Lytechinus pictus: one gene and its partner. The protein of the gene in region 2 interacts with the protein of the main gene of each other region in a pairwise test. Links are inferred from orthologs where the notes say so. Each region holds a gene or a part of one and is shown on either strand. Other genes may lie near its edges.

Region 1 (10,961 bases), on a different chromosome or scaffold from region 2:
CTAAACTAATAAATCATGCAATGGCCCATGTCAAAGAAAACTAGCAGATGCAGGGTAGTATAAAAACATTTGGGCATAATAGAAAAAAAAAGTTCTAGCAAACATAATAAAATGACTTGAAAACTTATTTACAGGCATTTTCGTTTTGTGTAAAATCAGAAAAAAAAATGATAGATGAAAGTTTCTATTTAAAAAAAAAACAAAGTCATTCTTTTAAGTTGAGCAAAAAATTCAAAACTTATTCTTGACTTGGGTGAACTCCTTCAGCCCTGGATTTGCATTGGTGAATTTCAAACGAAGCAGTTTTCCAAGCATGTAAATTACTTTTCCTAAAAATTGTAAATTTATAAGGAAAACCCAAATTCTAAAGGAAGATCCTGGGGAAAAAAAAATCTGATTTAAGCATTCACTCTTAAGAAATGACAAAATGTTATGATAAAGGAGGCTAAAGATTTTGTGTGAATATAAAGTACATTATTTGGGGAGTATTTGTTGAGTTTATTAAAAGTAAAAAGTTTTTTTTTCAAAAATCTTGGTAAAAACACCTGCTAGATTTTCTGATATGAGCCATTATAAAATATCTAAATCTGTTACCCTGTTTTGTATGGACTGTGGGATGAATCACAAAAAGCCAAGCAAAAATATTGCAAAAATTAAACAAATGTGGAAAGTTTTCAAAATCATTACAAATAAAAACCTATACAATCACAGCAGAATCAAAATATAATGTCAATTGATTTTAATATTAACATACATTTAAAAAAGGGAATATAATTTCAAATAATATCATTTGATGTGAATTAAAATATCAGTTGTTAAAATATTTTTTTAATGTGTAAAATGCGATATAACACTGCATTTGATAGAATGAGCTGAGAAATTACTAAAAGTGCTTTTTTCTTAAACTTTTAAAATATACTCAAGAAGTGACTAAACAAGATATATTCAAGAATTCTTTAGAATCTAAAATTGTATGACATCAAAAGGATAATTTGTGAAAAGTAGAGTGTTTTCAATTTAACAATAATTAAACAAAGAATAATGTGTGTTGTAAAACAGCTTGATAATTGGTGAGAATTAAATATGTGAAGTAAAATTGATATGTGTAATCAGATCTAATGATATGAACAATTAAATAAAAATCATATTGAACAGTTAATAGATCAGTAGAATTGGACTTATGTTAAATGTATGAATAGAATATGGATGAGTTAAATATCACTGAATTATATTTAATTCATTTATAAACCATCAAAATCAGAGGAGTACAATTTGTGTTAAAACATACAAAATGAAACTAGAAAAATTGAACTATCAACCATTTAATTGTAATATTAACTAATACACCAGCACAACATACCATATTGTGACCTTTAGCTCTTCTACCAAATGTGTATTCCAGTGCGATTGTGGGTTTTGGTGCCTCCTCCTTCTCCAAAAACCGGAGAATTATTGATGTCTTTCCCTTGGTAAAATGCACAGAAAGAAAAGATGTAGCTTTGAGTTGACATGAATAAATGTAATCATCATCAGATGTATCTCTTTAATAAATAAAATTGTACAGTGCTAAGATACAATCAAGATTAGTTTCATATTATAGCATATGCCATTTATCATTCATTTTCTGTATTATTGATCTTATTGATGAACTATCTTGATTACAATAAAATTACAATAAATTGGTGAAATTAATGACAATCATTGTTTACGAAATATTTTGTAGAATTTTGTGATAATTGTTTAATTAACTGTTTTACACATTTTCAAGTAATTTTATACATGTATATTGGCCCAAATCAACAAAATTATGTCAAATAAGTCAAATTTATGTTTCCAAAACAAATATGCACATGTCACTGACATTGGTGGCAACATATAGGCCTATTTGATAACTTACTGCATTTTTACTGCCAATAAACAAAATGTGATTCTCTGAGCCCTTTGTTTCGCCACCTGGAATATAAAATTGTATAAAGCAAGAAGAATTGAATCTGAAATCACATAGTATAGGGTAACAGAGCAACTCTATAAGGCAAAAGTGGATCATCATCAGACTTAGCAGCATCATCATCATTACCAACATCACTATCACCTAGTCACCATTGTCACTATCACTATCATCCTCCTCTTTTTCTGATTCCTCATTTCAAGTTTCTCCTTCCTCTTTAACTGTTTACTCTGTAAATTTAATTAAATAACGAAGTATATGATAATTTCAAAATGGAATTCTTGGCCTAAAACAAACTGTCTGTAAGCAACTGGCAACCTTACCCTCATCTTTGGATTCAGAAGCATTCTTCTTTTCAGCTTCAAGAATGGCAATGTCCCAAATTGATTTCTCCACACTGAAATTATACAAGAAATGCAATAATTCAGATAATTTAGACATTAGCCAGATGTGATTGATTTTAAATGGGGATTTCCATGGGAAATTTTTCAAAAGAATAGGTTCTTAGCTAAATTTTGAAAATAATGCCGGTGGTGGTCACGATTTTAAAATGAATTCGTATAGAATCTAATAACATGACTATCCATGTGTCTGTTTGAAATACATGTATGTGCCAAAAGATTCTGGAAGAGATTGTATATTTGCTGAGGAATTAGCAAAATAAGCACAGGATTAAAGGCTAAATAGGGGGTCTTTTTCCAAGCAATAATGATACACTGTTTCTGTTTAGACAGTGTAGTCTGTAATAGGAACTTGTTACAGACTTTCGCATCCACATGTTTGATGCTTTTGATACATGTACTTTCCAAAAGAATGATTAAGTATTAAACAACATAGTTTTATTCACTAAAAAGGGCAAAAAGAGAAAAGATATACTTTGTGACATATCATGTTTTTTTAAAGTAAATATTTGACATGTATATATATATGGTAGGCTCAGCAGGGCTTGAATTAAAATAATCCAAGGCCATAGAAGACCATGGTTGTAGATTAGATTGTCCTCATAGCCATCAATGCCCCTCTCATTGGCCTTGGAAATTTGTTTTCACTTACATACTGTACCTCTGGCCGAGATTTGCTGTGCCTTTACATTTTTTTTTATTTGTGCTGTAATAATATAGATGTGTATCCTATAGGAAGTGGCATTAACCTATTAAATAATGATACAATTATTGCAAGAGTAATACCTTCTTTAACAATCAGGGCTTCTTTGCTAAACAACTAGACACATAGATCTACTTCTTAGCAATACAATGTCAACATGTATTTTATGTTTGGAATTCATTAAAGGGGTACTCCAGACTGAAAGTAATATGATTTGAACAGATTAAGAAAAATGAGACAAAGTTTGATCAAAATCTGACAAGGAATACCAAAGTTATGCCATTTTAAAGAAAAGATCAACATTATTACAGTGAAACAGTTCTACACATGTCTTCATGAATATTTAATGAGCAAACTGATGATGTCATATCCACACTTGTTCTTTGTATTATATGAAATGAAATTGGATTATTCAATTTTTGTTCCTCCAAGGAAATATTGTAATGACAACTGATTAAGTGCATTATATATTGTTGCAGTAATGTATTTCATTACAAGAGAGACAAATCATTCACACATGTATAAAAAATGAAATAATTATGATTTCATATAACATGAGAAAAAGGAAAGTGGGAATGTAACATCATCAGCCCATCTAATGAATATTCATGAAGGCGTGCATTATTATAACTGTTTTCACAATATATTGTTAAACTTTAAAATTCAATTACTTCGTCTTCGCTATTTGTTATCAGATTTTGATGAAATTTTAAGCATTTTGCTAGAATTTACTATACATCTATTTATTCAATCTAGATACAAATATTTCCCTTTAAATTTCAGCATAAATCCCTTTATTGTGTGTAAAGTTAATGGAAGCACAGACATGGCATGGGGCACCATTTTTTTGTTCAATCTGAAAGATAGTCTAACCCAGGTTGGATCTATAGATCTAATTGAGTTGGGGAAGTACAATAAGAAACAAGATGGCGGCGTAAACATCGGGCAAGTCTCTGAGTCTTCCGTCTTTTCACAATATTGTTTCATTTTTTTTGATGAATTCTTGTTTAAAAATAACGAGAGCGTAGAAATGTCGGAAATGAAGTTTTATCCCATGGCCATGTACATGATTAATTAGAGCTAGATCTTTTTTAGAAGGAAAGTAGAAATCTCGGGGGCGAAAGTTTCAGGGTTTTTTGCGGTAGGCCTACACGCAGATGAATAGAAAGGACTCCTGACCCTGGCTTCGTTTAGAGTAAGCCTACGTTAGTAAATGATTTTTACTCTCAAGAAGCCGCCTGGCTAGCAAATACGTGTGAGTCGGCCTAACGTTAGGGCTGGGCTGGTTGCGGGGGCTGGGGCCTGGCCTTGCCCCTGGGGCTGGGCTGGCCTGGAAGCTCCGTCGTGACTCGTGATCGTGCGTAATCGACCAATCGGGCCATAACGCAGCGGAGCTTCCAAAGTTACGATCCCTGAAGTTCGGGGAAGCCTTGCTCCTTGCCGCTGCTCAGTCGACGTCGAGGATCAATTTTTACGTATATAACGATGTGATTCAATCGGGGAAAAAGGTAAAATAATTGCAAATTTTATACTCACGATTTAGGCATCTCTGATTGTTTTTCTCAAGTGAATTCTGGAATAAACAAGATATAAGAAATAAAGAAGTCGGGGGTCAACATAAAAACATCATTTTTCCGAACCGAGATTTCAATTGTTTACAGTCGTCAAGAGGAATTTCTTGGGTGAACATGCGCACTAGTCTATTACTGAGAGTTCATTCTTAATGATTATAGGTAACATTTATCATTTATATCTATTTTAAATACATTTTTATATAATAATTAATTATTATAAAATATAAATAGTTTATCAAATAACCTTTTTTAAATCATTAATAAATTGTGTCATCAAATTATTTTTTTATATTGTCAGATTGATTTGGAATCTTATTTCAATCGATTACTTCAGGCAAACTGTCGAGCTTCACCGCGGTCCTATCCTCTCTAACGTTAGATCGCTAGATCCTCGGTATTCTTTTCTTTCTGTTCTTTTAAGTTTGATCCAGAAGTGTCACTGGACGGAGGAAATTATTTGGGTGAGTTCCCATCCTCTTTTTTTCGTAGGAAATCTATTTTATTATTTTGTAACCTATTTGTATTACTTTACAATGTTGTAAATAATAAGTGCACAGATCTAGTCCTAGACCACAGTCCCATAAGTTCAGATTTGTGTAGGCCCTAAGTCCTATTTTAGTAATAAGAAATAGGCCGAACATAATAATAATTAATAATAACATACCTTGTTGTGGGCGTAAATTTTGATGATAATAATAATAACAACGGCATTGATGATAATAGTAACGTCATTTAATAATAAGAACAGCATATTTACCTAGTCTTGAGGACGCAATGCCAATGGCAATGATGTCTTGATGATGACTTTTAAAAATCCTGGGGCCGATTGCACGAAAGGGTCTTTCCAAGGACCGTCTTTCGTGTCGCCCATCTTTTATGATACGCTATAAGCGGGGTGTTTCTGAAATTTATGATAAACAAATACAATTCGTAAGCTTGCTTTTAAATCAAATTTATACAACTTTGCGAGACATCACATCAATCATTTTATTAACAAATAGTTTGTTTATTTTAACGGACGAATAAAATATGTTTGCAGATAATTTATTTGAAATGCGTTTCACATGGCGCATCATAAAAAATGGGCGACACGAAAGACGGTCCTTGCAAAGACCCTTTCGTGCAATCGGCCCCTGACATATACTCTTCTTCATCATTGACGTCTTGACACTCTTCCATAGATGCATAAGAGACTGACCAAAACAAAGATGGATTTCCCTAGGAAATCCATCTTTTAAGACAAAAATCATGTAAAGTTTATGAATTTTATTGATTTTTACACCTTCCTACGCCTAATGCGTAGCTCAGTCGGTTAGACTTAGAGCGCCTGTTCCGGATCAGTCACACAACATGCGAGGTTAGTTGTACTAACCTCGCACAACGCATGTCATTTCATAATGAATTTTGACGTTTTCATTCATCACACGAATGTGAGAGAATGACACACGCCAAAATCTTCACAATATACTAAATTTATTCATCTTAATCTTATTGAATGCAATTTTAAAAATATGCTAAAAAGTATTTATAAAAAGGGATTTTAAACGCTTACCTCCAAATCTCAGCCAAGATACTCCGTCCGATCCTAATAATACTGCGGTGGAAATTACGCAAACAACAATCGAAATGCGAATTTTTCCCATCAAACAGTCTAGATTCAAGTCGCCGGCGCATGGGTGTGTGTGTGTACAATACAGAGTGTAAATAACCAAAGAGAGTTTTCAAATGGTGCTTGTGTATAAAACAACGTAGGAGTTTATTTAACAGAGAATGAGTAGTATAGTGCAGAAAATAAAAGTGTACAATGAAGTTTTACAGAAGAGGAAATAATATAAATATATATGGAGGACAGTGCAAGATGAGGTGAGGCAAGCAGTGATGTTTTTTTTTCAAAAGTATTAATAGTAGAGGAAATAATACCAATATATTATGGAGGACAATGTAAGATGAGATGAGGCAAGTCTACAGTGAGGTTTTATCAAAGAATGTATGTAGAGGACAACGATGCAAGATGAGCTGAGGCAAGTGTACAGTGAGGTTTTTTCAAAAGAGGAGATAATACAAATATATATGGAGGACAATGTAAGATGAGATGAGGCAGGTGTACAGTGAGGTTTTAACAAAGAATGTATAATGATGAAATATATGTAGAGGACAATCTAAGATGAGATGAGGCAAGTGTGCAGTGAGGTTTTTTTCAAAAGAGGAGATAATACAAATATATGTGGAGGACTATGTAAGATGAGATGAGGCAGGTGTACAGTGAGGTTTCAACAAAGAATGTATAATGATGAAATATATGTAGAGGACAATCTAAGATGAGATGAGGCAAGTGTGCAGTGAGGTTTTTTTTCAAAAGAGGAGATAATACAACTATATGTGGAGGACAATGTAAGATGAGGCAATTGTACAATGAGGTTTTACAAAAGAGGAAATAATACAAATATATATGGAGGACAATGTAAGATGAGCTGAGGCAAGTGTACAGTGAGGTTTTTTCAAAAGAGGAGATAATACAAATATATATGGAGGACAATGTAAGATGAGATGAGGCAGATGTACAGTGAGGTTTTAACAAAGAATGTATAATGATGAAATATATGTAGAGGACAATCTAAGATGAGATGAGGCAAGTGTGCAGTGAGGTTTTTTTCAAAAGAGGAGATAATACAACTATATGTGGAGGACAATGTAAGATGAGGCAATTGTACAATGAGGTTTTACAAAAGAGGAAATAATACAAATATATATGGAGGACAATGTAAGATGAGATGAGGCAAGTCTACAGTGAGGTTTTATCAAAGAATGTATGTAGAGGACAATGATGCAAGATGAGCTGAGGCAAGTGTACAGTGAGGTTTTTCAAAAGAGGAGATATATGGAGGACAATGTAAGATGAGATGACTCAGATGAGGCAGGTGTACAGTGAGGTTTTATCAAAGAATTTATAATGATGATGTAGAGTACAATGTAAGATGAGATGAGGCAAGTGTACACTGGGGTTTTATCAAAGAATGATAAGATATATGTAGAGGGCAATGTAAGATGAGATGAGGCAAGTGTGCAGTGAGGTTTTTTCAAAAGAGGAGATAATAGATATATATATAGAGGACAATGTAAGATGAGATGAGGCAAGTGTACAATGAGGTTTTATCAAAGAATGTATAATGATGATGTGGAGGACAATGTAAGATGAGCTGAGGCAATTAAGTGTACAGTGAGGTGTTAACAAAGAATGTATAATGATAAAATATATGTAGAGGACAAAGTAAGATGAGCTGAGGCAAGTGTACAGTGAGGGTTTTTTTCAAAAGAGGAGATAATACAAATATATATGGAGGACAATGTAAGATGAGATGAGGCAAGTGTACAATGAGGTTTTATCAAAGAATGTATAATGATGATGTGGAGGACAATGTAAGATGAGCTGAGGCAATTAAGTGTACAGTGAGGTGTTAACAATTAAAGAATGTATAATGATAAAATATATGTAGAGGACAATGTAAGATGAGACTGAGGTGAGTGTGCAGTGCGGTTTTTTCAAAAGAGGAGATAGTACAAATATGGAGGACAATGTTAGGAGAAGGTATCTCATGCATAAAAATTAAAAGCAACTTTTTAATCTATTTCTGCCATTGAGTCCCTGTACAGATCAGGATAGAACTGTAATTGGTGAGTGGAGCCAACGGAGCTCAGTAGAACAACCAATGTAACAGAGACCTAAGCTTTTGATCTATAATCACACTGGCTATTAATTAATAATAATAATAATAATAATAATAAACAGTTCTTGTATAGCGCATATCACAATTATGAGTAATGTCTCTATGCGCTTCCAAAGGACTTGGATATTATTACCCCAGCTGTAGCTTGGCAGCCGTAATTACTAAGATTACAGCGCACACGCATTTCAAGGAATAAATTCCTGCCAGGTAACCATTCACCTCACCTGGGTTGAGTGCAGCACAATGTGGATAAATTTCTTGCCGAAGGAAATTACGCCATGGCTGGGATTCGAACCCACGACCCTCTGTTTCAAAGTCCGGAGACTAATCCATTGGGCCACAACGCTCCAATTATTGATAGCCCCTCCCCGGCCCAACCTCCCTACCCAGAGAGGAGGGGTGGGGGTGGCAGCACCCGCATGAATGGGGCAGGATTATTTATTTTATAGTGTGATGTACTGGGATGAGTTGCCTTGGGTGAGGTTAGCAACCACTTAGTGTGCAAATAATTTTAGTCCCCTAAAACCCATGATCTTAGGCATTTTCTATGGCATATTAAATCTAGACCCAATATCAATAAATGGCATCAGAGTCTAATAATATATTCCCCTGGCACCAACCGAATTTGCCCAAAATGGGTTTTGATTATTGAATCGTAATTGCACTTATTTTCAAAACTAATATCCTTCATACATGTAGACCTATATTTTTAATTTTGGGGACATCGTTTCCCTGTACAGAGTGTAAGAATGATGGAGGAACAAGACGTAGTCTGGCAGAACAACAGTCAAACGAAACAGAGTGTGGGGCTTTTGGCCGAGATTTGAATTAGAGCCAAGAGACAACTTTCCCAATAGGCCGGTACTTAATTATCAGAGATTTTTGGTTTTGTCATAGGTACCTATTCCCCTGTAGCAGTAAGTGAAATATAACACAAGTTGTCTATCGTTTTATGTCTTCATAAAAGAAAAATAATAATTTGGTCGAAAACTTTGAAAAAAATGAATAAATGATTAGCCTTTTTTTTTATTGGAGCAAATTCTAATTCAACTTTAAACCTTATTTGAAATGTGTACCCAGAAAATAACATGGTATTTGTGATTTTTATGAACTCATTAACTCATCAAGTAGATTTTAAATTTGTCACTTGCATATAGATGAGCAAGATGCCGCAACCACAGTCCATTCAAGGATCTCGTCAGGTCCTGCCGCCCATATCGCCCAGCCCTGATGTCTACAAGCAGTTCTTGAAGGAACTTGAAGATCAGATCAACGTGGAGGTAGCCAGGGTAGAATGTGCAGAGGAAGGGCCTGACCCTCATCGATATGCCATCTACAAAGGAGCCTTTGATCAGGTTTGTATGAGCATCATGTTGAGGAGAATCTCCAGTGAAACTTGAGAAAATGTTCTCCAGTGAGAAGAGAATTGGCATGCATTGTAATAATGATGATATTGAAGATATCTGAAAATGAACACAATAAAGATGTTTATCCATGATTGATTGGGAAGAAAAAAGTGATGATACCTTGTAAACAATCTGAAAAAAGGTATTAGAATGTGTTGAGTTTTTTAACCTGGATTTTTTTTAGGGGAGATGTTTAGAGGTGGGGGCAGATTTATGGACCCCTGGCAGCATTTGCTGATAGGATGTTCCATCCCACGAGTGGTTAATAAATAAATAAAAAGAAAAGAAAACCTTTTAAAATTGTTTGACACAATAAATTATATTCTTTTTATCTCTCCCTCCCCTAGATTATTGACAATGTTTCTGCCTACAAGTCCCTCCTGAGTGCAATCAAAGCTGAGTATGAAGATTGCATTGACACCATAGAGAAAGGTCAAGAGGAAGCATTTTACCTCTCTGGAAAGGTCAAAGCACTTGCCTCTGAGCAGACAACACTCAGTCTCTATCAGAAGCGAGCCGATGAGCTTGAACAAAAGTGAGTTCATTTTTTTTTCATGAGAAAATTAAAGTTTTTAGCTCATCCGGCCGGAAGGGCAAGATGAGCTTGTGGCGTGGCGTCCAACGTCCGTTGTCTGTTGTCCGTCCACAATTTCAAAATGCTACTTCTTCGCCATTTCAAGTCCGATTTCAATTCTGTTTGCTTTACATGATAGCACTAGGTGGGGGATTCAAAACTTCTACACAGAATTTTGAAATTCATTAAATATGCTAATTTATGCGCATTTTTCAAAATTCACAAAAAATGCTTCTTTTTTTGTTGACCAATTTTGAATTTTTTGCTTCCATCTGGTAGAGCTTCATGAGGTTCACCAAACTTCTACACAGAATTTTGAAATTTTGACCAGTTTAATTTTCATGCTAATTTATGCAAATTTTTAAAAATTCACATAAAATGCTTCTTCTTTATTTGTTGACCGATTTTGATTTTTTTTTTCCATCTGGTAGAGCTTCATGAGGTCCACCAAACTTCTACAAAGAATTTCGAAATTTTGACTAGAACAATTTTTATGCTGATTTATGCAAAATTAATTTATTCATATTTTTAAAAATTCACATAAAATGCTTTTTCTTCTTTAATTGTTGACCGATTTTGATTTGTTTTCTTCCATCTGGTAGAACTTCATGAGGTTCACGGTACTTATAC
Region 2 (10,687 bases):
ATCTAAAACTTCTCCATCTTCTGGATCAGAGTCATCATTCCTCTGTGGGATGTCATCTAGCTTTGGGAACATCATATTATCATTGTCCTCTTTGATATCACTGCACTCCTTCTGAGGCAAGGGTACTCCACAATCCAGAGGATCAAGGTTTGATGGTTCATCCGGCATTGGCTCCATTTCATTCACACATGGTTCATCATCTAACTTCGGAACTCTATCATCTCTCATGTCCATTTCACCAACAGCCTCTCCATCTCCCTCAAATCCTGCTTCCTCCATCTCTTCCTCCCTGTTTCCAGGGTGATCATCCCCATCCTTGTGGAAGGCTGCAGACTTTCTGGTGTGCCTTCTCCTCTTTTTCCGCTCTGCTTCAAAGATCTTCTTCTCTTCTGCGAAGATGTCCTTGATGGTTTCTTTGGAGATGTCTGGATCTGTCTTCATCAGCTGGATAAATACCCCACCCGGTGATCGCCGCCTTGATTGGTTCTAAGAGAGGAAATAGTTAGATTTACATTGAATTATCATAATTGATGAGTGTGGTGTTTGACAGAACAAAAACAGTCACTGGTCTTTTGTGGTTTGTTAGATTACAAGTGACCCAATATTTAAAAAACAAAACCATTTCAGACTATTACAGGCAGGGCTCTATATCTCAAAGCCAAAACCATGTTTGCCTTTAAATACGTAATCTAATATAAAAGGGGATCAGTCTAAAGGAAAAGCTGTTTTAGAGGAAGAAGATATGGAGCACCAAAGTGTGACATCAGTTGCCATGGTGTCATGGGTGCTGGTTCTAAACAGAGTCGCAGCTGACGATCGTCTGTACACATTTGTATGACTTTGGCTCATCTGAAAAATGGGTTGCAAGCAATCAAATTCCGATAGCAGTCATTTTCTCCTATGAGAAACACACGCTTTCTTTGGGGGGGTTCATTTGTTTAGATCCAGGCCTCCATGACACCATGGCAACTGACCTCATCGCTTCGGTACTCTACATGTATATCAAGCGAGAAGAACAGTTTAAGTATACCAGACAAACAATGAGAATATGAATTCTCAAAAAGTTGTATTCACTATAAATTACATGTAATACCTAGGGAGACTTTCAAATCAGTACCATTGGTGATGTCATTATGAATGTAATGTAGGCTAAAGAAAACTCTTCCACTTTCAGTTCCTTAAATACCCCCAAAAGGCTCAAATGACCTTCTTTTCAGGTACACTTATGCAAGAAAACCAACATCCTACTCATTACTGAATGGAAAGAGCATCAATGCGTGGCAGATCAAATTTAATTAGATGGATTCTCAAATGCATGCATTCAAAATTTTGCCTCTCATATATCATGAACAAGAGTGTTGCTAAGGCAAGCACATAATACGCCTGTCTGTAACACGGAAAATTGAGTTATTGGTCAAGCAAGAAAAGTAAAAGGTGGCAACTTCACCTTTGACCTTCTGGCCTAAAAATGAATAGAATTGCAAGGATCTATGCTAGTATCATACACACCAAATTATATGAGCCTAGGTAACGTTAAACTGCAGTTATCGCGTTTACAAGGACTGCAAAGTGGTAAGATGAAAATATGTCACTGTGACCTTGACCTTTGACTGTTTGACCTCAAAATCAATAGGCTTCCTGGGATCCATGCTAGTATTATACACACCAAATCATATGAGCCTAGGTTAAGTTAAACTGAAGTTATCGTGTTTACAAGGAAAAGTTAACGGACGGAACGGACATACAGACGGACGGACGGACACCAAGTGTGATACCATAATACGTCCCGTCGAGACGGGGCGTATAATTAAAAAAAAATGTTGAGGGTGCCACTACACCCCTAAACCCAATTGATGAAACATAAAAAAATATTTTTATTCATAGCATTTCTTACCGCTATCATCATTCCACCATCATTTTCAATCTCCTCTGTTTGCTTCCATATCTGAAGTGCCTTCTCGACTCCAAGAATCTTGACTATTCTCAGAATAAGTTCTCTCTTTGGCTCTTGGAGGCTGAAAGCAAGCTGACCTGCGATAACCTTTTTCTCAGCACTGGGGTCAATCTCCACCTTCTTCATCAGGACGACCTGTTCAGTACTGTCTGAATGATTTCCAAGCCTGCTCTTTACGTTGGAGCGCCGGAACCTGTCAGCAACCATGGAGCCACGCTTCTTTAATTTTTCCCGAAGGTCATCATGTGGTCTTTCTAGTTCTTCTTCCTCCTGCTCACTATGTCTTGGTGGATCATTTGCAAGCCAAGCGTCATCCTCATCCTCCCCTACTGCCTTCACCAGCTTTCTACCCTTGATGACATCATCTCCAGGAGGAATGTTTGTGGCTACACCAAGAGGGAGCTGTTCTGTATCTTTGTAGCTGTAGCTCTCAACATCCCGTTCCATGACCTGATCAACACCAAAATGTGTGATTTCCCTCTCGACAACCTCCTGGTTCTGCTCTACGGCTACAGAACCCCAGATGTTGTTCTTCCGCCTCTTCCCTACTGTAACCACTCCTCTGTCTCCATCTTTCATCCTTGAAGACCTGTTGTCTGGTCTCTCAGAACTCTTTCCCTGCTTCTGCTGATCCCTGTAGAATGAAGACTCAGACAAGGACAAGGCAGGTGCTGTCTTTCGACGCTTCCAGGACTGTTCATCATCACTGTCACTCTGATCACTTGAATCATCTTCATCACTCAGTTCAAACTTTCTAATGCTCCCTCTTGGTAAATCTTTCTTTTTAGGTGTTGTTTGACGCTGTGTGAAGGCTGCCATGTTGAATTCCAATACTACAAAAAGATAGATCTGCAAAGAGAAGTGATGAATCAGTAATAAGATAAGGTGATGTTAGCCAGCATCTACCTGCACTTATAGAATGATTTGACTTTTCAATAGTAAATTAACAACAAATACTAAATAAATTAACCAAAAATTATTAAAGAAAAAGAATTGAAATAGCACTTTGGTAGTTGAACCTATATCAATCCATGTTTGTTTTTTCATGAATAAAGCTGGATATATCTCACGACGACATATCTGCGCTGATCCACCCAGAAAGAATTGGTGGGATCCATTGGCGGCGGAAGCCAAAAATTTTAGGGGGGGACCACAAAAAAAATTTGACAAGCCAAAAAAAAAAAAAAAAGGTTACCAACAAAAAATTTAGGGCGGGTCCGTCCCCCCCCACCTAAAATTTAGGGGGGGGACACGTCCCCCCCCCCCCCCCGTTTCCGCCGCCTATGGTGGGCTCCGGGCTAGAGAGTAAAAATCATTCACTAATGTGCGCTTACTCTCCACGTAGCCAGGGATTGTGTCCCATTCATGTGCATGAACAGCGAAAAAAAAAATTTCGCCCCCCCCCCCCCCCCCCCGAGATTTCAACTTTCCTTTTAAAAGATTTAGCCCTAAATCCTGTAAATGGGATACAACTTAATTTCCGACATTACTACAATATTGATTTCATTTTAAAACAAGAATTCATTAAAAAACAAGAAAAATATTATGAAAAGAGGCAGCGTAGCTCAGTAAGTTAGAGCGCATATTTTGGAGATTGTAGATCTCAACGTGAGGGGTTCGAGTCCCGATCATGCCGAAACGCGTCTAACAAAACAAAAGTCTGATGCTATAGCGTTGTGTGTTAACTTGCCTCACCACTGTATTCAGTGCAGGTGTGAATGCAGTTGGAAAACACTCCGTCCATCGGAAAGGACGCAAATGTTGGTCCCGTGTATAGCCTAGGCTATAGGAGAGTCACAATTCCTATGCACGTTAAAACCAATACACTATTCGTCAAAGAGTAGGGTGTTCACCCGGTGTATTGCACCTGCCGGTCTCGGCAATATTCAGGTCAAGTACCCAATGCGTTTATGCCCGGGAGGGCCCTTTATCGTATACATCCACATCCAGAAAAGACGGGGAAAACTTGCAGCGATTCTTTACATAGCCAATTAGCCATCTTCATGATCTTGTTCTCTTCATGCTACTGCTAGCCTTTACTTTTTCGCCAAGCTACCACTTCAGTAGACAGTACAACTACAAGTACAACTCAGTACAAGACGCATATCCTCGATATGCATCTTGTAGCTGAATTCATATTTTTTACAAAACTCAAAATACTACCGTTTGATCAAGTACACAGTCACAGATCTAAGTGTCACTGAGTTAAATTGACTGTTCGTCTGTCATTGTCTGTTGTTTTTGTGGTGTTGTTTACACGAGAGTCGATCGAGAGCTCACACGAAAGTCGGTATCTGGGCACGTGTAGACAAGAAACGTATGAAATATATTCCTAAATATATGTCACCATTCATGCCTCAAACACAAACTTCAAACTTCAGTCAGTTAAAAAAGTATTTACACATTAATAAATCAAATTAGAAGAGTAGGCTGAGGCCTAATTGACAAAATAACGTACACTTTTACTACTGGTTCCGGCTAGAATTTGGAGACATCATCAAACAATTATAGTGTCGCCGAAACGTCCAAACGCAAATATAACTATAAGAAAGAAATTTTTTAAAATTCACATGTATACAAATTTGTATCTTGCTTTGGTAATTTCTGCATATGACTGTAAATACTATACAAACTATTTGATATGGAATCTAAAAAAGGTAAATCAATTACTATCTGTACTTATTTTTTAAACAAAATTATTCCCCGGTGCATTATACCCAACGGCCCTGCATTGCACGTTTCACATCCAAAAGTGTAAAAGTCCTTTTTTCGAGCAGAATAATTCGTAAATAATACAAATTCGCACGGTTTGGCTGCATACAATATAAAAAGAGAACATATTCAGCTTTTAAGCGATAGGCCTATATAGAATTGGCTTGTGGGTTCTTAAATGCCGCTGATGTTTAGCATCAACCATCGTATAGTTTAAACCCATAGAGATATATATACTAATATGCGTTATTAGTATATATCTCTATATGTTTAAACCACATATGCAGAGTGAAACAAAAATCTGCACTTCATATGCTAAGCTAATATTATATCAATTATTTAGCTTGTGATAACTTATACCAGAGTCTTTATTGCGATTTCCCGCACGGTCATGTCATAGTTGAAATACTGTTGTATTGGTCATTATTTAGAATTTTTTTTTTGAAGACCTTTTTTGTTTTTTGCTTGTCTATTTTTTTTATACGAGACGACGTATTTTTTGTGTTGTTGTAAACATTTCATTCAGCTTGAACCCCCCCCCCCCTTAGAAATTCCTGCTTACGCTACTGCAATGAATACTAGTAATATCTCCATTTGCATAATGTACGTTCTTGTTGAATCGTGTTTGATGGCTTACATTAAGTTTTGTTAACATTTTACTTCTGAATTAAGTTACTGCCTCCTTTTTCCAAATCATACTACAGGACAAAATCACCCGAGATGTTCTCCGCAATTTACGAAATTATGTCGCAATGTCGGTCCAAAAAAAAATTGACTCTCCATAAATCTTTGGACACTTTGTGAAATTTCATAAATGATATTGTCTTGATAATTTCGGGACTATAGCTCCAAGTCTACTCCTTTCAGACCCGGATTTTTCACAAACGATTGTCATGCCCGAGGCACAATGGCATGGTGGCTCAGTGGTAGAGTGCCCGCCTCGATCATGAACGGGAGGTCGTAGGTTCAATCCCCGGCCGAGTCATACCAAACCAAAGGCAACGGAGACCGAATCTACAATAGTAAATCTATTGAAAATGTCTGTCAAATTACAAAAATTTGCAAATAATTATGTCGTTTGTTCATAGTCCAGGGCGCAGGGCCGTAGCCAGAAGCATTTTGTTGGGGGGGGGGGGTGTACCAGCTGAATTTGCCAACTAAATTTGGCGTGATCGCACCAACGTGAGCACAGGGGGAGTCTGATGGGGGATTTGACCCCCCCCCCCAATAATCACATGCTAAAAGATTTTGAATTTTTAGAATTGAATAAATGGCATTTGGTGAATACTTTAAGGTAAATTATACAAAGATATACAAAGATATTTGCACTGTAAAAATAAACATTTTGGATCAAAATAGAAAGGCTAGTGTGCCGTAGTTGCTAACTTGCAGTATAATGATATACCCTATGCATTAATAACATCAAAATCAAAGATTTGTTAATTTTTAATTGACCTTCTGTGCAAGATGTCTCAACTAAAATTTCGAGAGTGCTAGTGCTAACAGAGGCGTACCGTGGGTCACAGTAATGGTGGGGGGCACCAGCAAAAAATTTGAGTCATTGTGGGCGCGCGAAGCGCGCTCAATTGCCAGGTATACTGACCTAATAGAGACATTTTAAGGACTGTGCCATTAAACGGATATGTATCTTAGTGATCAAATAATGCGAGAGCGAAGCGCGATCTGAAAATGTTTGATATTCAGTCCTAAAAAGTGACATCATAAGCAAAGTTTTGTAATCATGATACACACCTGTCTCACAAAACAAACAATGCGAGCGCGAAGCGCGAGCTGATTTTTTTTGTATAACTTGACCCTAAAAAGGGACATTTTAAGGACTATCTTTTGGAATTCATGAAGTGCGTACGTATCTCATCATAGTCATCTAATGCGAGCGCCAAGCGCTTGCTTATTTTGTTAGAATTACACCTAAGCACATGAAGCACTTTTTGTGGTCATTGTAATCATAAACATGATACGTATTTCACTAATGAAATATTGCAGCCCAGAAGCGCGAGTTGACAATTTTTGAAATTCAGACCTGAAGAGGGGCATTCTATGGCTTGTTTGTAGGAATTTACTATTTCATTAATCAAGTGATGCAAGCACAAAGCGCGAGCTGAAAATTTGTTATAATTAGATCAGAAAATTTTAAGGACTGTCTTTAGGAATTCGTGCACTGTAAAGACGCCGGTGTTGATTTAACACCAGCCCGGTATCTTTATCGGTCCACATCAATGCGAACGTAAGCACAGACTGGAAATGTTTTATATTTTAAGGCCTTAAAAGGGGGCAGTCACTACATTGGTTGATCTATAAAAGTTCTTCATAAACTTCATATGGCTGAAGGTGCGTTCATCCTTTGCAACACTTATTGGTGCTGTCATGAGAAGCTTGCGAGCATTCCAAGTGAGAGGAAGAATAGACTTCTTGAATTGTCAAATCTTCGGTGACAGAATTTAGTAAAAATAACTTAGAACATTTTTGGGTTTTTTTGCCAACTGCAAACTTGTAGACAAGTCTACAAGTTGTAGACTTGTCTTCAGGAATTTGCCAACTGCAGAGTTACCAGTTAAGTCTTGTGTTCTGTTCTTTTTAGATCTGAAACGGCGCAGTACTTGTACATCACTTTGCTGACTGGTAGAGCGTTTAGTGTTCTGCCACTTTAATAGGCCCACTTTATAATTTGCCAACTATACTTTGGCTTTGATTATTCAACTTAAACCTTGGAAATTCATCCCACCCCATATTTCTTTACCTAGTCTTGCCTCTAATTTTACAAAACTAATATGTTTGTTAAATCGTCAATAATTGTGGTATAATTTGCAAACTCACAAGCTTGTTTATATTTGGGGAGGGCCAGGGGCTTACTTTATGTGTTATTATAGGTTTATAGCTCCATCTGTTTTGTCCTTTGTATTTTGCTGACTAGTAGGGCTCTAAGTCTGGCTACATGGACTTGGATTTGCCAATTAACTGGTTGTCCTTACTCTATACGTCGTAACCTTCTTCGAAGTTAGTACCCCTATTTTTCTTTCCTTTTTTTCTTTCTTTCTCTCTTTCTTTCTTTCTTTCTTTCTTTCCTTCCTTCCTTCCTTCCTTCCTTCCTTCCTTCCTTCTTTCTTTTCTTTCTTTCCCTCTTTCTTTTTCTCCCCTATCCTCCTGCTTACAAGCATTCATGCTTTCTTAGCAATCAGGTAAAAAAAAAAAAAAAAAATCACCACCAATTTTGCCAACTGGTACATGATTTTGCCGACTGCCATGAATATTGGGGGGGGGTGTCACACCCCCCCATACCCCCCCTCTAGCTACGGCCCTGCCAGGGCGACACTGCCGTTTCGAACCACCGATTTTCGACAAAAACTGCTTTGTCATGAAGGGCTTTTGACAATAGATTCTCAATGTTCCAGAAAGCGTCTACTCCATCACGTCTTAAGATCCCTACAAATATGCCTACAGGGGCATATTAGGGGTCGGTTGCAAGGGCGGGCGGGAGGGGGGGGGGGTCAAGAGCCGAAATTTCCCGGTCATAAAAGCTAGGTATGAACAAGCAGTGACGTAATGAAGCAAACAAATTTAGGGGGCCAGGGCCCCATCTTACATAGAGTTACGATTGATCCAATCAATCGTAACTCTATATGGAAATCCAACAGTGTCATAATTTTTTTCTACAGGAAATTTGCAATATGTCCTTTGTACACAAAGGAGAACACACCAAATTGTCAAGAATTATTAATCAATGAATTTATGGATATACATTCATATTTAGAATTTTTTATGAACGTGTATTTTATATGTTGACTTTGCTGGCTTTCCATGGTTGCGATTGATCGGATCAATCCATAGAGTTGGATAAAGCGTATCCAACTCTATGGATCAATCACAACTCTTTGTAAGACGGGCCCCAGATATGGCGAAGCGGGGAAAAATATTTTTCAAAAAAGCTATACTAGAAGCGAGCGAAGCGAGCGAGCAAAAAATTTCGACATTTTCATTACAAAACTCAAATTTTGTGATAGATTTTAGCATAATATTTAGAAAGTATATATCACCCTTCGCTAATTCCTTTCCTTTTTTCTTTTTTTTTTCTTGGTCTGTACGCCGCTGTGAACAGGTATTTTTAAAATAGCGAAGGGTGAAATATCATTAAATTAATGATATTTCACCCTTCGCTATTTCCTTTTCTTTAGTCTTTTATTTCCTTGGTCTCTAGCTACGCCAGGATTTTTTTTATGATTGTGCACGAGCATTATGGCGAAGCCAAAGGGCGAAGCTCTATGCGGCAGTATAGGGTAAGGAGTAAAAAAAAAAGGGGGGCACAGTATGTCGCGTGTGGCAAAAGCCTGAGTGAAAAAAATCACCTTTCATAATAATTTGAAATAGATTTTGGCCAGATATTCAGAAAATTACATCATATCTTACACTTTTCGCTTCTTTCTTTTTTGTTCTTGGAAGGGCTATGGCCCGAACCATCAATATTCTGTCCGCCAATGCTACGCGGGTGGGGTCCCTGGAACCTTTTGATATCAACGCCATTTTAAACCTTACAGATTACCGCGGGTATATCTTTACACAACAAATTCAACGCAGTTGCGTAGTATGCCATATATTTTGAAGGGGCACAACATAGCAAATGTGGGAAAATTTGTTAAAAGTCGCCAGCAAGCGAAGCGAAACAGAAAAAGTTGGCCTGTGAACTGAAATTATGATTATGCAACAGATTTTTACATTATATTCAGCAAAATTGTTTTTCATTCATTTTTCATTCCGATGCCTCCTTTATTTTCTTTTATTTCTCCTTGACTGTGGAACCTTTGTATCTGACTTTTTGAGGGGTCCACATTCTACAAGCTTTGCTTTTCAGTGGACCCCTCCATTCTTCTCATGATATATAATTATATTGATTTAATTATATTCAATTGTATTGATTATATTGATTTAAACTTGACATGCATGTTGATTTATATTTGAATTACTTATTGAATATGTATATCATTTCTATTCAATGTTGAATTTTGTTCATGCTTTTATTTAGATTGAATCAATTTATCTTGTACTTATTTGTATTATGTTGAAGAATGAAAAATTAATTGAATTTAATTGAATTGAACCAAGTCCCCTCCCCCCGTACGCCAATGCTTCCACGTGAAGCTAAAATTAATGCAGGAAGGGTCCACAGAGGGGCCCGTCTGCTGCATGGGGTCTGCATGGGGCAGAGCCTCGGTAGCTTTGGAGATGCAACCGTTTACGGTAACACTTGCCAGCGTAAAGCTTCACTTAGTTAGGGAAATATATTTCAGAGGGTTTGTCTATTAGCCTTATAGGCGGACTTTTTGTCCCGATTGACCGCTATTGCATAGAATTTAGCAATCTTAATATAATAGACTTCATACACAATGTTATATGCCATCCATCTTTTTTTCCGATCGTTATTTTCAATCCTCGGCAACCCGGTCGTGTTATTAAGTTCTTCTTTCTTTTTGTCTTTTCTCTTTTCTTCATTCTCTAATTTAGCTTTTGGCTCATTCCATTCTTCCTTTATTTCCCGCTTTTGTTTGCCATTTTGTTATCTTTTAATTTATTTTTCTTTCTCATTAATCATGCTAATGTATTAGTATTTTGGGATGATTTTTTTCTTTCTCACACGTTTTTCTTTCAGTCCTTTACCCGCTTTCCTTCCGTTTTCTCTTTTTATGGTTTTCCTTAGTTTTCATTTCACTTTCCCTTGTCCCCTTACCTCCTTTTCTCCCATTTATTTCTTCTTTCTTTCTTTCTTTCTTTCTTTCTTTCTTCCTTCCTTTCTTTCTTTCCTTCTTTCTTCCTTTTATCTTCTTCCCGTTTAAAAAAAAATCCGATGAAATCCGCCAGGGGGAGGCAGCCCACCCCCCCCCCCCCCCAATTTCCCCGCCCGTTACGCCACTGTATAAACACGCAAGAATTAAGGCGTCCTTAATTGGCATGGAACAAAATATTGAAACCATGTAAAAAGAACAATTAGATCAGTGCTATAAAACGCAAGCT

Evidence for each region. The genes of interacting proteins can lie anywhere in the genome.
Region 1: the proteins of phosphorylated adapter RNA export protein-like (region 2) and cytoplasmic dynein 2 light intermediate chain 1-like interact in a two-hybrid assay, tested with the Drosophila melanogaster proteins (2 studies listed by BioGRID). The link is inferred for Lytechinus pictus from reciprocal best matches to the Drosophila melanogaster genes Phax and CG3769.

What each region holds. Positions count from the first base shown.
Region 1 is NC_087251.1:11,932,577-11,943,537, reverse strand, and holds the start of cytoplasmic dynein 2 light intermediate chain 1-like, read right to left. Parts: upstream 4,757-10,961; 5' UTR 4,600-4,756; coding exon 4,589-4,599; intron 2,346-4,588; coding exon 2,272-2,345; intron 1,954-2,271; coding exon 1,898-1,953; intron 1,466-1,897; coding exon 1,361-1,465; intron 1-1,360. Other genes in the region: clathrin heavy chain linker domain-containing protein 1-like, read left to right, coding at 9,509-9,706, 10,105-10,292.
Region 2 is NC_087249.1:4,990,048-5,000,734, forward strand, and holds the start of phosphorylated adapter RNA export protein-like, read right to left. Parts: upstream 4,492-10,687; 5' UTR 4,413-4,491; exon of another isoform or gene 4,118-4,412; intron 2,804-4,117; 5' UTR 2,774-2,803; coding exon 1,895-2,773; intron 487-1,894; coding exon 1-486.